Linked DNA regions of Drosophila melanogaster. The protein of the gene in region 2 interacts with the protein of the main gene of each other region in a pairwise test. Each region holds a gene or a part of one and is shown on either strand. Other genes may lie near its edges.

The links. The genes of interacting proteins can lie anywhere in the genome.
Region 1: the proteins of Eip63E (region 2) and CycY interact in a two-hybrid assay, tested with the Drosophila melanogaster proteins (2 studies listed by BioGRID).
Region 3: the proteins of Eip63E (region 2) and CycC interact in a two-hybrid assay, tested with the Drosophila melanogaster proteins (2 studies listed by BioGRID).

What each region holds. Positions count from the first base shown.
Region 1 is NT_033779.5:11,807,676-11,815,942, reverse strand, and holds CycY (cyclin Y), read left to right. Parts: upstream 1-2,162; 5' UTR 2,163-2,218; intron 2,219-3,260; 5' UTR 3,261-3,511; coding exon 3,512-4,349; intron 4,350-4,443; coding exon 4,444-4,826; 3' UTR 4,827-5,851; downstream 5,852-8,267.
Region 2 is NT_037436.4:3,512,171-3,520,519, forward strand, and holds the start of Eip63E (Ecdysone-induced protein 63E), read left to right. Parts: upstream 1-3,580; 5' UTR 3,581-3,764; exon of another isoform or gene 3,765-4,358; 5' UTR 4,359-4,603; coding exon 4,604-4,658; intron 4,659-8,349. Other genes in the region: ImpE2 (Ecdysone-inducible gene E2), read right to left, coding at 1-432.
Region 3 is NT_033777.3:14,886,588-14,892,035, forward strand, and holds CycC (cyclin C), read right to left. Parts: upstream 3,619-5,448; 5' UTR 3,471-3,618; coding exon 2,883-3,470; intron 2,823-2,882; coding exon 2,607-2,822; 3' UTR 2,417-2,606; downstream 1-2,416. Other genes in the region: CG33331 (uncharacterized protein), read left to right, coding at 1-1,023; CG33332 (uncharacterized protein), read left to right, coding at 1,263-2,147, 2,208-2,372; UQCR-C1 (Ubiquinol-cytochrome c reductase core protein 1), read left to right, coding at 3,771-3,839, 4,109-4,315, 4,375-4,703, 4,766-5,136, 5,198-5,289, 5,364-5,448. UniProt on the Drosophila melanogaster protein: Component of the Mediator complex, a coactivator involved in regulated gene transcription of nearly all RNA polymerase II-dependent genes.

The sequences.
Region 1 (8,267 bases), on a different chromosome or scaffold from region 2:
TTTGCATTTACCAAGCATTCGAATTGCTCAATTAAACGAGTGGTTTTTCAAGAAAGGAACGACAGACGCGTCGATCTGTCTAGATATTAAGTACCTAACTAAAAGCTAAACCAAAAAATACCTGACAACTAGCTATACGACTTGTATATACTCTACACCAACCCCTAACAGACTTTCCCCACAAGAAAAAGAAAAACCAAAAATCCAAGAAGAAGGCAAAGATTTCAAAAACTTTCCACTCTACAAATGCACATAGCTACCTATACGATGGGATATATAATATTTATTGTTAAGAATATAATAGTCACGTTTCTACAAAACATATTTATTTTTATACATGAGCGCGGGACAAAAGTGAGAGCAGAAAGTGGAGGGCTTGAGTCGCAGGAGGATTTGATTTCCTTTCGTTTCGGTTTTCCTTTTCCTTAATCAACTTGAAATGTTTTCAAACGTTTTTCAAAATGTCTGATAGCGGGACCATTCTTTTAAGATTTACCACTGCTCTTTACCAATTTGAGCAGGGCGAAAATCGTAGGGAAATTCGAGGTGGAAAAGCCGCCGAGCGATAGCAGCAGAAAGTCAAAGGGCAGTGGTAAAAGTGCTTAGCAGTAAGGTACCAAATTATCAGCTGAAATTGGGATCATAGCTTTATTAAGGTAGTCGATAAATGTACGAACAAATCGTGGTTGCAGATGTGTATAGCGGATGTCTACTAGTAGCCATAGCCACAAATTAAAAACAAACACGAACAGAACAGACAGAACAAACAAACGTACACAGCAGATTAATCTACTCCTAAACATTAATGGGATAAATATAGCGCCAGAATACCTATTATGCGGACCGTAAATATTATTGAACAACCAGTGTATGTTAGTGTATATCAAACTTGAACGCTCAAAGCGATGCGCATGCATATATCGTATATATACATATATATATATATAGCGACCTCTCTCGAAAATCTGTACAAAGTCCTGATTAATATAGCGTTAGGCTGCAGACCCTCGAACAAAACAAAAAAAAAAAAACCGAAAAAGTTGTTATTTATCTCTGTTGAAAAATGGGAAATCCACAGAAACACTAATCGAACGTATGCAAACGGATATATATAAATATATATGAGGTTTACGATTCAATGTTATTAGCAAAAAGTAGTCTAGTAGTATCATTAACACACACATAGACATATTATATAGTTCCGGCCGATGTGCAAACTTGTTAACGAGAGAAACTTAGCTGATGGAACAATATGAAATACACACTTGCATACGGTAAATAAGTTGAAAGCAATCATTACATTTAAACAATAAATATAAACTACTTAACTATAAAGTCCCTAATGGAAAAAAAATATATATAAAATACATTTTGTGTAAATACAACTTGCACAGGATGCAAAAAGATGTAGTATATTAGCGGAATGCACTCTAACTAAAGGGAATACTGTAGCCATCCCACACCAACTAAAAACCGAAGGAATCGCATATTACTGAGATCTGTAAATAACTTTGTTTCATCTGTTCATTTCTAGCCCAGTTATTTATATATCGCATAAGCAAACTAATTGTGTACTTTACAAGTTATCTCGAAACAAAAGCCTACTAATGAAACGTTTTTAATTTTCCTACTATGTTAAACTCAACATTTAATATGCATAAACTAACGGCGATGGTCTAAAAATTGCAAAACAAGTATTTGAGATAAAGGGTATATGGCTGAGATGTATGCTTATTACGAAATACTTTCAAGTAAATTATAATAACACCATATGACTTTTAATATACTAATAAAAATTCTTATTAAACCTAACTGGGGACGGTTTTTTTTTAAAGGAGTTTACATATTTTGTTTAATTAAAGGCCCGCCCTTTTTTTGAATTTAGTGCTGCCACATAGTCATGTGTGATATCGATAAGTGGCGTTTCAGTACTTTACTTATCGACTTTCTTACATTGCCCTTTTATATATCCTTTTGTTGTTATTATTGTAATTGTGAATGATCATATATTTCAGGGACTAATTTATTACTTATTAATAATATTTAAGATTTTACGCAATGTTTTTAAAACTAGGCACTAGAGCATTTATCTGGTATTTTTATACCGCAAAATGCCATCTCTTAGCCGGATGGTGTTTTTGTGCTAACCATCAACGGGCACACCGCCACTGATATCTATCGATATTTATAAAATACGATACATTTCATTTTCGAGCAGGTAATTAAACAAAAAAACGCGAGAAAACACCAAAGATGTGTGAAAAGTGTTGCATTACTACCTTGCCCAACTGACGGCCATCGCCTCATCAGTGAGATAGCCACCAATTAAGCCTAATCACCCAATAATCCCGATTTGGTAGTCATTCGTGGGTGTTTCTCCGGGCAGAGGCCGAGCAGCGCTGCCGGCGACGACAGCGGCGCCAGCGTTCATTCATTCATTCACTGCAATGATTAATGTGCGGGGAAAAAACAATTCAAGTGATTTGAGCAGAGATAGTAGGAATCTAGGAACTGGGCAATCAGCTGCCCACCCGGTGACAAATTATCCAATATCTCCGGCCTTCCGCGCCGTAAACAAAGTCACAAGCTTCGCTGCCGCCCCGCCCCTCCCAGAAATGGGAAGAAGAAGAAGAAGTTAGAGTCGTGCTCCCCACACAGAAAACAAGAAATCGGCGAAAATAAAGCAAAGACCTCGCCAAATTAGGCAATTAGGTTAATTAACTTTTCGCACAACAATCTGGCCGGCCTTTAAGCCAAAACGATTCCGCCTATAAACAGAGCAAATATAAATGGTAGATAGTGAAAATAGCACAACTTGCAGATCGAATGCTGAAATACCCTAACCAAAGTAACCCTCCTAGGCTAAGTTCGATATGCATGGCATATTTGGTTTTCGTCATGTGACTTCTTTCACGTTATTATCTTTAAAAACAACAAAGTTTTTATCATATCTACAGCTGACTTTCCCTACAATTTATATGATAGAAGTGCCCCCAAACTTTCAAATCAATCAAATAGTCAGTCTTATCAGGTCATTCAAATTTGTAGCACTAGAAAGTGTTATTAACAATAGTTTAAATGCCACCACAAGTAGTGAAAAAGTAGTCAAAACTTCTCTAAAATCGAATAGCACCCTCCCCAAAAAAGGGCAGTGCAATTAATAATGGGTTATGGGATGAGAATGAGAACAGATTTGCAGATAAGATCGAATGAAAGCCGAGGCTAAGCGTTATCTATATACATACATATACTCTTTGCAGCAAACGCTCGACGACGGGCAGCGGTAATTGTGGAGCGATAGAAACGCCAGCGCCATGCCCATAGACATAGACGCACGACGACCAAGTGCCAAAAGCGAGAACCGAGCGTGAGCGACTGCCAGGAGCAGGATCCGTAACCACGGGGTCCATCCGCTAGTCAAGAGAGAGTGAGCAAGCGAGCGAGTGAGTGCCAAGCCAAGTTTGCATTTAGTTTGAGCGCCCGACCAACCGAACCAATCCGAAACGGCAAAATGGGCAACAAGAACTCGTGCTGCGCGTACTCCAGTCCGCAGTCGGACCGCAAGTCTAAGGACATGCCGCCCGTCTTCGAGGAGCGGATTATCCAGCTGGGTCATCCGCCGCACACGTCACAGCACCAGTTGGACGGCCACCATGGATCCGCGTCGGCGGTGCACCTGCATCACCATCATCACGGCCACAATCAGCAACAGAATCAGCAGGGTGGCGGCGGTGACAACTATGAGAACCAGCAGAATCTGCAGCACATCTCCGAGCGAGAGGCGCTGGAGGGCGAGGAGGATCCGTCGGTCGATCCCACTGCAGCCACCATGTTCCTGGAACGATCAAAGGTGGAGAACGGCGGCATGACGCGCAAGCGTTCGCAACAGCAGATTGCCCAGCAGGCGGGCAGCGGCGGCGGAGGAGGCGGCGGCGGTGGCGGCGGCAGTACTCCCGGTGGCAATAGTTGCGGCGGTGGTGGCGGCATGAAGAAGAGCTCCTCCTGCTCGACGATCTATCTGGACGACAGCACTGTGTCGCAGCCGAATCTTAAGAATACGGTCAAATGCGTCTCACTGGCCATTTACTATCACATCAAGAATCGGCAATCGGATCGCCGGCTGGACATCTTCGACGAGAAGCTTCATCCGCTGACCCACGACCAGGTGCCGGATAACTATGACACGCACAATCCGGAACACCGGCAGATCTACAAGTTCGTGCGCACGCTCTTTAACGCCGCCCAGCTGACGGCCGAGTGTGCGATCATCACGCTAGTCTACCTGGAGCGGCTACTCACCTACGCCGAGCTGGATGTGGGACCCTGCAACTGGAAGCGCATGGTGTTGGGTGAGTGGAGTGCTGCAAGCATCAGATATTCAGAACAAGCAGTAGATCACTAATTTGGTATAGCTTACTAATTTCTACTATTGATGTTCTGCAGGTGCCATTCTCCTCGCCTCAAAGGTGTGGGATGACCAGGCCGTTTGGAATGTAGATTACTGCCAAATACTCAAAGACATCACCGTGGAGGACATGAACGAGCTGGAGCGCCAGTTCCTCGAGCTGCTGCAGTTCAACATCAATGTACCGTCCTCGGTGTACGCCAAATACTACTTCGACCTGCGCACGCTCGCCGAGGCCAACGAGCTCAACTTCCCCACGGAGCCGCTGTCCAAGGAGCGGGCCCAGAAGCTGGAGGCCATGTCGCGTGTGATGCAGGACAAGGTCACTGCCGAGGCACTGAAGAATGGGATCAAGAAGTGGTCCTCCATGGACAACATCAGTCAGGGCGGGCCGCGACGCAGCGTGGCCATACTATCGTGATTTATATTAGCTTACTAAAACCGAACAACCAACCAACAGCAGCAATGAGATCCGTACTCTGTAGTCCGTAGTCCGATCGAACGTCATTTGAGAACCGTAGCTCTGCGCTGAATCAGATTTTGCACACAGATTCAGATACATTTCGTAGGCCACCCGGTTGCATAAGCTTTTGCGGGTGGCTTTTTAGCCAGCACACAGACTCTAAAAGGAACACCCAAATACGTGCAGAAAGAATCACAGTCTTATATACAATATATACATACACGAAGAAAAGCGTTTTAACCACACGTCTCGAATTAAGGACCACTTTTTACATATACGTACATGCGATCGATGTATGTAAGCGAAACTACCGATGCAGTCATGGATTTGGATGATGATTTTAAACAGAGACACAGAAGTACTACTACAGCAACGCGTAACCAATTGCCAAACGAAAGATCACAGAAGCAGAAAGAGATACAGAAACCTAAACCGAACAGTAGAGAATTGTTTGTACAAAACGGCTTAAATAATATTGTAATTGACTTGGCCACCTAATCCAGCTGGCATCTAAGCAATTTAATCTCAACGGTTGGCCACGGCCACCAAATTGTCATTTACTTAGCGCGTCCGCGCCCAAAAAAAGAAAAGAAAAACATTTCCCTGTACATTTGTTACGAATTTAATTTGTTTACCTTACATCCATGTTTTCTTAATAACTCAATATGATTTCGTGTGATTCTTATATAGTTTCCATTTAGCTTTATATACGATGAACGATATTCGGCTTCCCCGCGTCAGGCTTCAGGCACAAATCGATTTTCTGGGGGCGCGGCCTGCGGCAAGTTGATTTGTTTTTTTTTGGTTCTTAGCATTAGAAAAACAAACAAAATCCGAGCGAGAGTTGCAAGGAGCACAGCGCAATATTAACCCAAAAGATTTGTGAGTAAATTAATGTACTAGACATATAAGGATACGAATTATATGCAAAATGTATTTTATTTTGTAATTTATTTTACGATAAAGCTAAATAAAAGCAAATCAAAGAAATAGACTTTCTATAACTTAGTTTTTGTCACTTTTTTTTCGAAAACGTGGGTTTTGAAAACGAAAGCGCGCTTATTCGAAGTCAAAAACATGGCCATATGAAACAGAAAGTTTTTGAAACATTTTTTTTTTTTTATATAGAAAGGACTTCTGGCTATTCTATGTATAAAAACATTTTAGAAACATATCTTATTCTAAATAAGAAGATCGATCATAGGATTTCTTTCGAAAATCGTATAAAATGTATTGTATAATCCACTTATTTTCTTTCCCTCCCACAAAATATGGATTCAAAAATCTCGAACAAGATTATGTGGAAAAGTATTGATAATCACCTAAACACATTGATTTTCAACATTATAAATACTCCACTTGCAAATGCAAAAAAAAAACTCTTTAGAAATAGTCAAGATCCTACTATTTAAGTTTATACTTTCAGAAAATCTTATAATTCCAATTACACTTTATAACTTATTAAATTTACGCTGCTAATTATTTTTATTATTTATAAAATACTTTACGAAAAACTTAATTTTCAAAGCTATCGACGCAGTGCCATCCCTAATTTGGTATTTTTGTGTATTTGGTATATTTCAAAATTACATTGAAAATAAAGCAGCCCGGTCACACTGCCAGCTCTGGAGAACTATCGATGTCATATCGATACTTCTTCCAGCTCTATACACTGCTTCTCTCGCTCTTCCGCCCGCAACTAAAACTCTGGATCCGCGTTAAATGTTAAGAAAATAAAGGCACCGCTCTAATTAAATGGCCAACCGCAAGTGTACAGTGCGCGCAATGCAGTTAGTGACCAGTGGAGAGTGATGTGCAAGATCGGGCCACGAAACCAAGATCGCCATTGAGCAATCCGGGAACGGCGTCTGTTGAAAAGGGACGCTGCTGCAGGCAGAAAAAGGAGTGGTAGCTCGCTGGTCTATGGATAAAACGTAACTATATCGCTGGTGAGTGCAATTCGAATTGGCGACTCTTGCATTCGTATTCAAATTGGCCAATTGGACCCGGCCGAATTTGTGTGCTTAACCGTTTTGCCGCCTTTTTGTGCCCAAGCCCCGAAAAAGCAGCACAACAACGGGAGGGGGTTGGTGGAGGGAGCGGCGGAGACAGCGGCAGCAAATCGTTAATAAGAACAACGCAATCGCACGCACACACACACATGCGGGCTCGAGCACGCATTGTATCTGTATCTTGCGGTGTCTCTCGTAGTCGCTCTCGCTCTCTCGCTGCCTCCACACCTCTTGCCAGTGCTGGCCACTTGGATTCTCTCTAGCCAGTTTTTGTAATTGGAGTAAGTGCAGGTGCTGCTTGGCTAGTTATCTACTCTGAATGCTAAAAGTAGTTTAAGTTTTCATCTAATATAAAAATTTGTTGAAAGGGATACTTTAATCAGTAATTTATAAATGCTTTTTTGACTTTTTCCATTTGAATATAAGGTTATAAAGATTAAATTGAATTATTTTAATAAGTGTTTTAAATTTTCATGTATTCCGATCAGATAAACCGCCTTGTTATTAAAGTTATTTTTCTCACTGGCTTATGTAAATGTTAACTTTTTTTAGCATTGGATTGGGATTATTGGGCTTTTTACAGCTCTAAGCTAATCAACTCATTACCTGATATTTGTTATGCCTTTGCCATATTATTAAAAAAAACTTATATTTGATATTTGACTGTCAAATTTTCAATAAGATAATCAGATAGCCTTGTTATTATGCCACACTTAGGAAGTTCAATAAATAACTTTTAAATATAAGAGTCGAATCAATTGATCCCTCGTCAAAGCCAAACCGCCTGCACTGGCTCTCCCACTGGACTTTTGTGCTTTCGGCTGCCGCCCGAACGCGCCGCACGAAGAACTTTTACATCGGTCGCCTTTGCCTGCTCGCCTTCTGCTGCCTCCGCGTCTCATTCAGTTTTCAGTTTGCTTTGCTCTGTTCGCCGTTCACCACCGCCTCTCACCCGCGCGGCGTTTCGATTCTGATTGCCACTACTGTTGCACACACACACACACATTCGCCGGAGAGTGTGCCCGCCACCACCACCGTTGCAATATCAAGTAAATTTTCATATACTGGCGTCATAAGAACGAACCGAACAACCTTTTTAAAGCTTGTAAAAAATGCAGTGTTTTGTACGAGGGGAGAAGCTGCTAGAGGGGGTGGGTCGGATATGATGGGATGGGGAGAGGGACAAGTACCGGGGCTGATTGGAAACAATTGAGTTTATTTGTGAAATTCGCAGGCCAAAAAGAATGCGAGAATTATTAATCAAATGACTTTGCGGTCGACTTCGCTGTCAGTGTATTGGTGTGTGAGTGTTTTTGTGTGCGAGTGCGAGAGTATCTGTGTGTGCTTGTGTATGAGCTGCGCGCACATCCACAGCTACAGAGTTTCC
Region 2 (8,349 bases):
AACTTCTTCTTTGATTTCCTGAGGTTTCTCCTCAGCTTCCAGGGATTTTTCCTTCAGCTCCAGGGGCTTAGCATTAGGCAACTCGTTGATCTGCTCTTCAATCTTCTCCTTGAGCTCCTCCTTAATGTCTGCCTTTAAATCTTCCTTAATCTCGTCTTTTATATCAGGCTTAGGCTGCTCTTTGATTTCAGGCTTAATTTCTGGCTTAACTTCCTCCTTGAGATCCTTGGCTTTCTCTTCTTGAGCAATTGGTTTCACTTCCTCTGGCTTAACTTCCTCTGCCTTAACTTCCTCTTTGACCAAAGACAAAGCTACTGGTGGCTCCTTATCCTCGACAATGGCCACAGGAATATCGATCGCCTCCTTGGGCAAGTTGAGTACTCTGGCTTGGCTAATGGCCAGGAAAACCAGGATCAAGGCAACGGGCTTCATTATCGCGACTTATCTCCTATATCTCCTTCGATTTCAAGATGTGTTCACTAGCGCCTCACGGCCGCAACTGTTTGAAATTTCTTTAGGCCCATCGCATTTTATACAAACCACCGGCTGCGCAGCCGCCGTCGACTTTGTTGGCAGACAAACAAGCACACAGGGCTAAGGTATGAGCAAGAGGTTGGGGAAAAGTGGTAGTATCAGTGCCATCGTCTTTGGCCAATTCTTGCACACTGAGTGTCATTGAACTGGACCAAGTTGGTCTTGCATTGCACACAGGAATCGAGAATCAGAAGCCTTTTTGGCCACGAAGCTGCACTTGTAATTGGCCAAGACGTTGGGACAGCGAAAAGGGCTGGGACCATCATCAATCATGTTTGTTTTATCGGCCATCAGTGTTTGTTTTACTCAGGGCATATAGCAGAAATAAGTTTATAGGAGTATAAATAAGAAAATAAAAAAATAAAAACTAATTTTGGGAAAAAAGAAAATAGGGTTTTTTCATTTGAATACTTTTTTGATTTTCAAGATTTTGATTTCAAGATTTTGAATACTTTCCTTGTTTGTTTAGGACTGTAGTTATCTATCTTGTTGTCTTAGGATTAAAAACTGTGATTACTATTAAATTTTACTGAACTGAGATAATCTTGGGATAAGCTAAACATCCGTGAAAAAATCTATTGCTGTGATAATTGCTAAATGTTTTTAAAGGTTACAAAATTTCTCACATTGACCAACTGTGCAGCGATTAGTCTCTGTTGCAGTCTTCCCTGATCATCGATTGGTGCATGCAACTCCCCCTTTTCCGCAGGTTTTCCACTTTTTCACTCTCATTCCTTGTTGACTCGATTCCAGGCAGCGACATTTGATCAGCAGATTTTACTGGTTTTCTTGTTTGGCTAAACGCTCCTACAAGAAACGCATTTGGCCCTATCGGCCGTTCTGCTGACTGGATGGTGAATCTTGAGCTCATTGGATCTTTGGTCTTCGATGGAAACCCGTTCCCCAGACCGACTTAAATGCAGTGTCGAGATGCAGACGCAGACTGGACGGAGAAACCTGCTCCGGCTATTTTTAGAGTCAATTAGCTTTGGACCGACTGTCTCTGCAGGGAAGATGCATCGCTGGGATGCGTTTTCCCCCGGTTCTGGGTTAATAATTCATTAGAAATGCACAGAAACCAAACCAAAACGCCCACAAGACCGGCGAACAAAGCTCCAAATGTGTTCTATGCAAATGAGAACATTTAAATGTAGTTAAATGGGTCAAACGTTTGATGGAGAAAACGTTGCTGTGCATAGAAGGAAAACTTATCTCCTGTCCACTTGGGACTTTCATATGGTGATCGATCGATCGATCGATTGAACCATTTGCAGCTCGATCGGCGGTGGTCAGAACTCGTTCTGTGGCCCTTTTGGCCAACAAGAGGTCTGCAAACAGGCCAAACCTGCAAGGGCCAAGACGATTTACAACCAAAGATGATAAAAAAAAAGAACGAAATTCAACTAAAAAACGAGGAAGCACTGATTTTTAAAAACAGCGTTTCAATACCCTTCAATTCGAGGAATTATAATGATTCTTGGCTGGTACAGCTTGATATGGGTTATAAGTTTATATAAGTTGAACTATTGCATATTGTTAATATTCCACAAGAAGTGCTATCAAGTATTGCTATTAAAGTTAAAAATATAAAACTAATCGCCTGACTATTTTAGTATACCTTTTCTGAGGGCATCAAGAGCAATCAAAGATCGAAGTGGATTGCAAAGGACATTGACTTGAAACTCTGGGATCTCACAACTGATCTCTTTCAGATATTTTATGACCCCAGCTTGTGGCTTTTAATTCTGCAACAAAATTGATTTCGGCAATGGGAAGAACACGTTTCCCCCCGAGTTACAAACAAAAAAAAAAACTCATTTCGGTTCTGTCGATTTTTATGGCTTTTCTTGGAGTTGGTTAATCGCCTTCTTTTTCTCTGATCTCTGGCGCCCAAAATATTTTTGCTCGAGTTTCGGTTTTTAGCTTTGATATTATGCAATTGCTAGCCGTACTCTTTTTTACACAATTGACTGTCGAATTAGCACCTCACTCACATCCAGCGACAGGTGACGATAAGGCGGGCGGGCAGTGGGCGTGGCAGCAGCAACAACAACACACATTACTCTAAACGGTGGCAACTTTCACTCAACAGCCGTGCGGAATACTAAAAAAAAAATCAAAAAACAAATAAATACCCGTGCAAATTGGGTGACAAAAACAGCAACAAAATGTCAGAAAAAAAAAAAAAAAAAACTGGGAGCGAGTGGGAGAGTCAGGCGATCTTCGTCATCCAAAATTACCTCACTTATCAACCTAAGCCGATTGTTGTTGCCGAAATATTGGTGTCATATTTTCTTGTCAAGGTCACAAATTTGTTGTCAAATTGTAAAAAAATGTTTATTGGGTCTAAAACAATAGTGAATAATTGTAAACGAATTTCTGCCAAGGTCAGTTATCCCTTTTGAACTTCGAGAAAAATATAGAAAAAAGAGAGTTTAGCCTTAGAAAAATTTTCAGTGGCTTTAATATTTATGTTGGCTGTTAAATAGGTTTGGAGTCGTAATAAAAACGTTGAATTCAAAAATATTAAAGAACTCAAGAAAATGTTGTATTAAAACTATAAAAAACATTCTGTCAAATAACATGATATTTTTATATATTAACAAAACAAAAATGAAGGAACAATTTTATATTATTGTTATTTGCCCTCAGTTGCAATCCACATTTCTTTAAAGTGCAATATGAGAATTCAGTTATTTCATTGTTTTAAAAACTTTGAAAGCAGGCTGCCAGAAAGTGGAAAAGATGACTTTGACGTTGCCGGATAGTTGTATTTTAATGTACTGTTAACCTTGGATTTTAACTTGTTAGTTTCTATAAGATCTCTAGCTAGTTGCTTTACCGTTCCGATTAAAAGGCTAGAGGAACCGCATTGTTTCTTGAAATTTAGAGAAATTAGTATTGTTCTTGTAGAACTTAAGTCAATACAATTATTTTTTTTTAACAGAATTCTGTTACTTGCGTGCTGTTAAAAGTTAGCAGTATTTTCTGCAAAGTCATATGTTTTGGTATTTCTCAGCTGCGCCGCCTGATTTTTTGGCGCTGACCCCTGCCTGGCCACACTGGCGATGTGGTGTGACCAAATTCGTGCTCGCTCCGCGAGTCGCCGTCAAAAAACAACTGTGAAATTGCACAAGAAACTAAACAAATAATCGCGTAAAATTACCGAAAACATGTGCAGCGGCCGTTAGCAGCGTGCGGCAACTAATCGAGCCAGTGAAAACGTGCAGGTGCGAGCGAGAAAACACGCGTACGCGTCACTAGCAACAACAACAAACACACAGTGCACCAACTCTCGCATAAGCACGCACACACACACACACACACGCGCGCACACATGCATAAACACCGACGCACATGCAACAAAAATAAAATAAAAACAAAAGAGCAAGCGAAATAATAACAGAAATAAATTTGATAAATTCAATTATAAATTAAGGCAGCTGCTTGTGTGCTAAGCAAAAATATTAAATAGAAAGTCTTGGCCACTTAAGTGAACCAAAATTAGAGAAGCAGCAGAGTGCCCAAAATATCAATATATAGATTTGATATCTAAAAGTAACGAAAGTTAACTTAAAACCTTAATGGTGGACAATGGATCAAAAAAACAAAATCCCTACTAAAATAAATTCCAAATACTTGCTAAATGAATGAAACCCGCAAATAAAGTCGATTCTTACCAAGATAACCAAAACTAGCTTCATGACTTTTAATTCTTGTTGTTTTAATTTTTGTGCACTTCCTGGTTACGGAACACCTGGAAAACCCCATCCTCGCCTTTTTCCACGCTGATTAACAAATCTCGCGTTTTTCCCCCCTATCAGCTGACATACGCATACAAAGCCCATCCAGTTGCCACCCCCTACTTCTTGCACCTGTAAAGAACAGGTGACTAATACACTGCTCGCGAAGTTTGTCAGCTGCTGGCGCCGTGGAAGCAACAACAACAAAACTAACCACATCCACATCGGCAACAACAACATCGGCTTTCTACAGAGCAGCGACGTCGGCGTCGGCAGAGGCCTCTGCCTGCACAACACCAGCAACAATAAAATCAAAAACTAAAACTATGGCCACCACCACCACAACAACAACAACAACGGGGGCAACAAATGCTAAAGATGGTGAGTTATATACTTAAAAGGATTTAAGATTAAAGAAAATATATCACAAGAAGTAAAACCCTTAAAAATCTTTAAAAAGAAACAGTAAATGGTGACCCACAAAAAACTGAAGCACAGATGCAAGGGTGCACATACAAACGACAAGTCGGTTAAAGTTCAAGGCGAACGAACAATTTAAATTGCAGGTTTCCGGTCAATGCCACTCTGTGTAATTAAACTAAAGTTAGTTGGTCGACCTAGATATTAGTATAACCTTTGGCTAAGAAAGACTGACATTTAAAGGCAATTAAAGGAAGGTTAGGTTTTAAGAAGAGCCATAAAACTATGGAAATAAACATACAATATCTTTAAATGTTTGGAAGGTTTTTCATTAAGGTTCTTTCATCTCCAGATGGCGGCAGAGAAATTAAAAAAAAAAACAAGTAAAATTCCATAATTCGCCCGCTTATCTGCGCTTTTCCAAAGACTTGCACATTTGTTTGCCCGGTACACAAGGCCGTAATCCTAATCCCTCAAAAGCTTAATCTTTTGTTTTGTATTCCGGGATCCGGGCAAAAAACCCTGAAACAGCAATCCCCACCAACGCATCTGACGTAACTTGTTGAGCAACCACGATTGCTGGCCGATTTGTTTTTGGACTTCTTTTTGGGCTGAGGAAAGAAGAAAAGTTTTATTAATATCAATAACCAAAAGAGCGAAGCGAGGGCAGCGAATAAGGCAAGAAATTAATGAATGCCACTGGTCGCGGGGAATAAATTTGAACAAAAAGCGAGGCACAAAGCAGCAAAAGCAAAACAAACCATAACCAGCTTAACAACGATAATTAAGAAGTGCCGGCCAGCAAAAAAAAAGTGTAAAAAATTACATACGAAATTTAATTGCCAAGGCGGAAAATGGTAGCATGCGGGGGGCAACAAGGGGGTATGGGGCCATGGCGAAGGTCAGCTAGGGGCCTGAAGGTCATAGGCATTTTCGACGTTGTCGTCACCTCTTGAACCCGCTCGAATTTATTGATTTTACACGCAGCAGCCGCAAAAAAGAGAGGAATAATCACAAAAACAACGGCAGCTACAAAATCATGCATATTTCTCGTTGCCCGATGTTTTACTACACCTTGAACAGTGGTCATCGGGTATGGTGAGCTACTTAATTAAAAAAACTTTTCATTATTAAGTTATTGCGAGCAGTAATTGTTAACGCCGCTAGGTGGAGCTCGTGTGCAATCCCGATAACAGTGGCACTCCTTTTAGTTGAATAAATGGTATGTCATAGTGTTGGCACTCCACCAATGTTCTTTGTTTCGCTTCGCGAGCATCCACTGTAGCCTTTATTCATATTTGTGTGCCCCAAACACTGGCACACAAAGCCAAACACACACAGAGAGCGACTTGTGCGGCTTTTGCTGGGCACTCGAGTAGTTCAGTGCGGGGCTTATGCCAAAGGCCAAATGGAAAACCTGCTTTAAGAGCCAGTGAGAGAAGCATACGAATCAGTCCAGCCACTGCAGAGCCCAAATCCCCTCCATGGCCACAGTTTGATGCTGAAATCGTGTGTTGTCTTTGGGGCTTGATAAACTGTAGCAAGCCCACAAAAATCTTCTAATTAAATCAAAGCTAACGGTTGCCGTTTAACGGTTTTCGTTCATAAAACTTGGCCAAAAAATCTAACTCGCTGTTCTTTCTGAGTTTTTTTGTTTTGTTTTTGCTTAGATACCATTGCCAATTTTAGGTTGCCATTTTTATCCCAACATTCTCATTTTGAGAGTCATTTTCTGTGTTATTTCTTATCAACTAAAACAAAAGGCAAAACTTTGATAAGCCAGTTGACACAGCGGGAAACATGATTCATTTGAGTGGTTCACATATTACATGGACTTTGGAATTTTCACTTAATTTAATCAATACGTATGTAGGTATGCACAAGTGATCGTAAATATTTAGAGTATACCTGACAACAATAAAATGCATTTTTAAATACACTGCACTCTAGCAACGAATCTTGTTCAAATATTTATTATTCAATACTATGTATTCGTGAGTATGAAATGTAGTTTCTTCTCATATATCCCCCTTTATTAAGTTATCATCAACTGGAGTAAGGAAACACTTCTTTATCAGCTCACTCTTTCCCTTATCTGATTACTATTTACATAACATTTTTCTGTTTATTCATTTGACTCTTATTTCTTTTATCAGTTGTGATTTTGCTGCTTATCGCGGCAAATGCAACTTTACCCATGGCAAATAAAATAAACAAACATCATGTTTTTTTACACATTTCTCCAACCCAGTTGCCATTTTCAATTAGTGTCTACAGCTGAGGGTCAACACGAAATGCTCTATAGTTTTTTTCAGCATTCAGGTAACCGAGCGCCCAAATCGCTGATAACAGCGTGGTTTTTTTTTAATATTCAAATATTTAATCACAAAGCAGCAAAACCACACACGCGTGCTCTATGCTGGCCTTTTTATTTGTCGTTGGCTCGTCGGATAAATGCGAAGCAAATTTTTGCAATTAGTGGATCGCTAATAAACCATAGTGGGCAACAAATGGAGAAAAGCGGAAAAAAATAAACTCAAACAGCAGTTGGCATATTGACATATCGGTCGCATTCAAACTGAATTCCCACAGCTGCCGATGCTCCCTTTTTGTGTCTTGTTTGCTCGCTTCACGTGCTTCTGGGCCGGCTTCATTTGCCGAATGCATTTCCACCGGCTGGGCAGGCGTCATTTTTCAATTGCCCACCGACTCCTGTCGCTTTCCCAGCGCTTTCCCAGCCACGCCTGGAGTGGCAGTTTGTCATGAGCGAAGCGGCCAGGTGTCGCTTTGCTCAGCGCGCTTCCTGTTGCCCCACACAACACTCCTAAAATAAAGGAAAATTAACTTTAAATGTATTAACTTAATAGTGTTAAACCCAATCAAGTTGTACGCTATTTAATATTAATATGATAGATATTACTGGCTACCTGATTACTACATACCACGTTTGCTTAGTTGATTTTGATTTAAGCTTTCCGAATTCGTTGTGCAACACTTAAAACATCATAATTTTCTAGATACCTACTTGTAATATTTTCTTTGAGTGCATCAATGTAACCCAGGCACACTCAACCCAGCTCTGTTTTCGCGCCGGCTCTTGGGGATTGCAATTTGATTTGTGGGCGAGTCAGTTGCGGTGTGAAGACTTTGGCTAAATTGCTGTGAGACTTTACGCCAGACTTATGAATGAGTTTATTGTGCATTCTAACAACTTAACTGGGCCTTCAGAGGCTGCGAGTGCACAGCCTGCGCCCCGGTTATATTTCACATTTAATTGTAACGACTTGAAGGTGTCAAGAAGTTAACCCAGCTCAAGACCATCGGAATGCTTTAAAAGTGCATTGTTGCACTTTTGGTGGGATAAGTACGAGACTTTTGAACCACAAGTAACTCGAAAAATTGTATTATATTTCACGAAAATAATATCTTTTACCACATATAAGGCATTCCATGACCTCTACCACTTTCTTTCCTGGTTAAGTGAGTCACCAGAATAAATTTCCATAATTATAACCACTCAGGGTATTTAGTTTCCTTACTTGCACCAAAGTTCGCAGCTCATTTGGCATTGTGCACCCGCATGGTGCATTATATTTTACACACGTATGTATCTTCTCAACTTCCCAGCTAATTTGTCTTGAATTTCCCTGGC
Region 3 (5,448 bases), on a different chromosome or scaffold from region 2:
GACCTATACAGACGCACGGTGGCGCGGTTTCCTCTGGGCAGTGTCAGCTATATGTTCGCCTACGGATCCGGCGTCAAACAGCAGGAAGGCTATGGAAAAGTCGGCAATGGAAACAACCTGCGTCCTCCGCCGGGAACCGTTGTGGATCTGGTCTTTTGCGTTCGTGATGCTAGGGGCTTCCATGCGGAGAACCTGCACCGTCATCCGGACCACTATTCCGCCCTTAGGCACCTGGGACCGAACTTTGTGGCCAAGTATCAGGAGCGTTTGGGTGCGGGTGTCTATTGCAACACGTTGGTGCCTCTGCCAGATGTGGGCATTACCATAAAGTACGGCGTGGTGTCGCAGGAGGAGCTGCTGGAGGATCTGCTTGACTGGCGGCATCTTTACTTGGCAGGAAGGCTGCACAAACCAGTGACGAATCTGGTCAATCCTTCTGATAATCCTCCCCTCAAGGCTGCGCTGGAGAGGAATCTTGTATCCGCGCTGCAAGTGGCTCTGCTACTTTTACCAGAGAAGTTCACTGCCTACGGACTTTTCCACACCATCGCCGGACTGAGTTACAAGGGCGATTTCCGTATGATTTTCGGGGAAAACAAACAGAAAGTGCACAACATAGTTAGTCCGCAAATCAATGACTTCTTCGCCCTATACCAACCCTCCCTGGGACAACTTTCCGACTATGTGGCGGTAAACATGAAGGGCCAGGAACCAGGGAGCCGGAAACCAGCCATAATCTTCGAGCAGGACAAATCCTCATCGGCTACATGCCAACACCTGCGACAGTTGCCCCGAGAGCTTCAGAAGCGATTGCAGCGAAATGCCGCCTGTCGTGGCGACTACACCCAGGTGGTGAATCACCTATCCATGGCCTCCCAGCTTCCGGAGGTGCTGCAGGCATCCGTCAACGACATTGTGTGGCGCAGCAGTGTCACGCAATCGATCAAAAATATTCCCAGTGCTGGCATTCTCAAGTCATTGGCGTATAGCTATCGCAAGGCTCAAAAGACATTCGCTGTTTAGGTTTATTTTTCGGGTTAATCCCCTGGCTGCCAATCATTCTACCGACTAAGTTGTCCCATCCAGCTGCATTTTGTTAAATACTTTTAAGCTTTAAAGTTGTTAACTGCAATATAATGTTTAGCCCAATCCAAAGACCTGAGTTTTCTTGGGGATTCTCTCTTTTCACATCCAATGGACCTCTTTATAACCTCAGGAATATCTTGGTTTACTTATTATTTCATTAATTGTATTTGCAGATCATGTCCAGCGACGACAATAGTAGTGATAGCAATTCGTCCAGCGATGAAAGGCAAAGGAAACGGAAGCTTAAGAAGCACAGCAAAGATGTGGACAAGTCCAAAAAGAAGAAGTCGAAAAAGCACAAGAAAGAAAAGCGTCGCCACAAGGAGAAGAAACGCAGCAAGCATGAGGAGGAGCCACCTGTGCCTTACACGCAACCTCCACATTTAATTAATGCATCTCCGCCAGATGTGGCTACAAACAACGAAGATTCCTTTGGTCCCGCTTTACCGCCGCATTTAAGGAAGACCCAGCAGCCGGAACTCCCTGAGCAAAGCCAACCAGCCCCACAACCGCAGGCCATGATAGGACCCGTCCTGCCCAGCAATTTGACCCGGGAAAAGTCTCCTACTAAGGAAGCGGAAGCTGAGGACGATGATGACCTAGCTGGCACCTTTGGTCCTCTGCCAAATGCCAGTCAAGTGGCTCTGGAGGAACGTGCTTTGGCACTTAAACTGGCAGCTCTGGAGGGCGGGGGATTGGGTACATCTACAGACCAAGATGTCCGCGAAGAGTGGATGCTTGAGCTGCCAGATGTGGGACTGAAGAGCGGCCTTGCCGCCCTGAGCAATATGAAGCGCACTTTCTATCAGGGAAAAGAGCGACCCGACTTTAGCGATCGATCATCCTGGACGAAGACCCCGCAGAGTGAAGCGGATGCTGCTGCATCGGGCCCAAAGTCGCTCAGTTCGAAGGAACTCGAGCAAATGGCACAGGTCAAGTACGAACAGCAGCGGGATGACGAGCAGGAGAGCATGGCCAAGAGGCACAAAAAGAAGCACAAGCGAGAGGAGTCCCTAGTGGAGCTACATCAAAAAAAGCTTAGGAAAGAGCAGAGAGAAAAGGTACGAGGAAAAATATTTCTTAAAAACATAATATGGATATAATATTGTTATAAATTTAAGGAAAAAGAACTGGCTGCATCGGGTTCCAAGCCAGAACGAAGACCTTTTAGTAGGGATGTGGACTTGAAACTTAACAAGATCGACAAGAATCAGACCAAGCAGATTGTAGACAAGGCCAAGATATTGAACACCAAGTTCTCCAGGGGTCAAGCTAAGTATCTGTAGGTTAAATGAACCATAAAAAATCCAGACGATCCGTACCGCATGTTAATCTTAAGCAATTATGTAATTTAATTTAGAAATAATTATTATAAAGGCAAAATAATTTGTAAATGACATTTTTGATTGCTTAGTCACCTAGCTTAAACTTTCGTTTAATTGGCATAAATACATTGGTAATATGAGTACAAACACACAATTGGGCAATACCAGCTAATGATGAATGATTATGAAGCTCTTCTAACGCTGAGGCGGTGGTTTCGGTTTCGGAATCTTGGACAGCAGCATCTGAATCTCGTCCTTTTCCTTCCAGTCCTTCCACAACTCGTACAGATTTACAATGGCGCGCACGATCTCCTGGACCTTGTCTAAATCAACATTCAATTCTGCGAACCACTGCTTCGTGGCGTCCTTTTGCAGGATGACGCAGGCGATTTGAAGGCAGGCTATAGCGATCTAGAAAAAAATAGGTTCTTCAAATGTGAGGAAGCTGTAGAAATTATCAGGATCACAAACCTGGTAAGGAGGATAGAGCAGGCAGACATCGGTGCGCAGGGAATCGTTTACGATACGCCAGCTCAGGGTGAGCAACTGGTCCTCCTGGCCCATGTCCTGAACCAGCTGCAGCAGCGGTCTGTACGGCTGGTAGACAATCAAGCAGCAATCCAGGTTCTCCAGCAGGTAAAACTCGCACTCCAGGATGTGATTGGTGCGGTAGGGAAACTCCTGAGCGTACGCATAGCTGAACTTTGTCTTAATGGCCGACTGGCAGATCGAGATCAGTCGTGAATTGGAAATGACACCGAACTCCTCCACCTTCGAGGCCAGCAAGATGCAAGTGGGCGCCAGCAGCAGAGGATCGATGTTCTTCAGGGAGTTCCTCGCATAGAATCTCTTGAAGTAAACCGTCGCCGTGGCGATGACCTGTTGCCTCAGCTTTAGCTGCTCGCCGAGCACCTGGATCACATTTGCGAAGAAAATAAACACCTTTTGGTATTCATCCTCGTTAAGGGCCAACAAATCGTGCTGACGCTCCCGGAGCAGATCGGGTTTGTCCAAAATCCACTGCTGCGAGTGCGAACTCTGCCAAAAATTGCCCGCCATTTCGTAACTAGTAGGCCTAGCTGATTAGGTCGGCCAATATTTTCGTGTTAGCTATCCAAATTAGGTGTTTATTTCAATAGCAAGCCGGAAAACCAGGAAAAACGAAAAAATTGTGTTGCCGTTTCAGCCAGTGTGTGCACACCAGGGCTATTTTCCACGAACAGCTGACTGGCCGCAGCCAACTTTGCGCAGCGCAGTACATTGGTGTGTGTGTGTGAATTTTTCATCAGCGCCGCGGCCACAGACGAAAAAGTCTTAAATATTTTTTAGTAATAGGCTATTGAACGAATTAATAAAACGATGGCGTTGCGAGTTCTTGGCGTGACGCAGAATATGCGCTCCTTCATGCGGGGCGTTGACATGATCAAAGTAAGTCCAGACAGCCATCCAATGATTACGCTTCCGAGGATTTAAATTACGTAATTGTAAATGATTGTGTTTTTGGTTGCAATTGTGGTTTATTCTTGTGAGAAAAGGGATAAACAACCTCTTGTTGGTCAGTTATTCAAGAGCCATCCAGTTTTTCAAACAAATATTTGGGAAAACTGTTTGGAAAACCCACTACAAGCACTTTGAGGTTATGTTCGTGTTTTACTTAACTCTGGGCTATAGTTTTCCCAATTTTCCCGAACTTACAGCGATACAAGTCGGCTGCCACCCTACAGAAGACTCTGCTGAACATACCCGCCACCCAGGTGACCAAGCTGGACAACGGTCTCCGCGTGGCTAGCGAGGATTCCGGTGCCTCTACCGCCACCGTGGGACTGTGGATCGATGCTGGGTCGCGCTCCGAGAACGAGAAGAACAACGGAGTGGCCCACTTCCTGGAGCACATGGCCTTCAAGGTTGGCTCACTAGCTTGATGCTTTAAATGCGTATAATATGCGTTTCTGCCACTTTTTAGGGTACCGCCAAGCGCTCGCAAACGGATTTGGAGCTGGAGGTTGAGAACCTGGGCGCCCACTTGAACGCCTACACTTCCAGGGAGCAGACCGTCTTCTACGCCAAGTGTTTGTCCAAGGATGTGCCCAAAGCCGTCGAGATCCTGGCCGACATCATCCAGAACTCCAAGCTGGGTGAGGCTGAGATCGCCCGCGAGCGTTCGGTGATTCTGCGCGAGATGCAGGAGGTGGAGAGCAACCTGCAGGAGGTGGTCTTCGATCACCTTCACGCCACCGCCTATCAGGGCACTCCTCTGGGCCAGACCATCCTGGGACCCACCAAGAACATTCAGTACGTATATTCAGCTCTTATAACAAATGCTCTGTCTCTAATTAAAATCTTCATTTATTTAGGTCCATTGGCAAGGCCGATCTGACCGACTACATCCAGACCCACTACAAGGCTTCGCGCATCGTTCTGGCCGCTGCTGGCGGCGTCAAGCACGATGATCTGGTCAAGCTTGCCTGCAGCAGCTTGGGTGGCCTGGAGGCCAGTGTGCTGCCCGCGGAGGTGACTCCCTGCCGCTTCACCGGCTCCGAGGTGCGTGTGCGCGACGATTCCCTGCCCCTGGCCCATGTCGCCATCGCCGTCGAAGGCTGCGGCTGGACCGACCAGGACAACATCCCCCTGATGGTGGCCAACACCTTGGTGGGTGCTTGGGATCGTTCCCAAGGCGGTGGCGCCAACAACGCCTCCAACCTGGCCCGTGCCAGCGCTGAGGACAGTAAGTGTACATCAGTAAGACGACCAGGATATGGAGATTATTAACTATTATTGCCCTACAGACCTTTGCCACAGCTTCCAATCGTTCAACACATGCTACAAGGACACCGGACTCTGGGGCATTTACTTCGTGTGCGACCCTCTGCAGTGCGAGGTAAGAAGAATTAATGATTCAACAGAAAACTCTCGAGAGAAAGCAAATTTTACGTAAACAAACCTCTTCCCCAGGATATGCTCTTCAACGTGCAGACCGAGTGGATGCGTCTGTGCACCATGGTTACCGAGGCTGAGGTCGAGCGCGCCAAGAACCTTC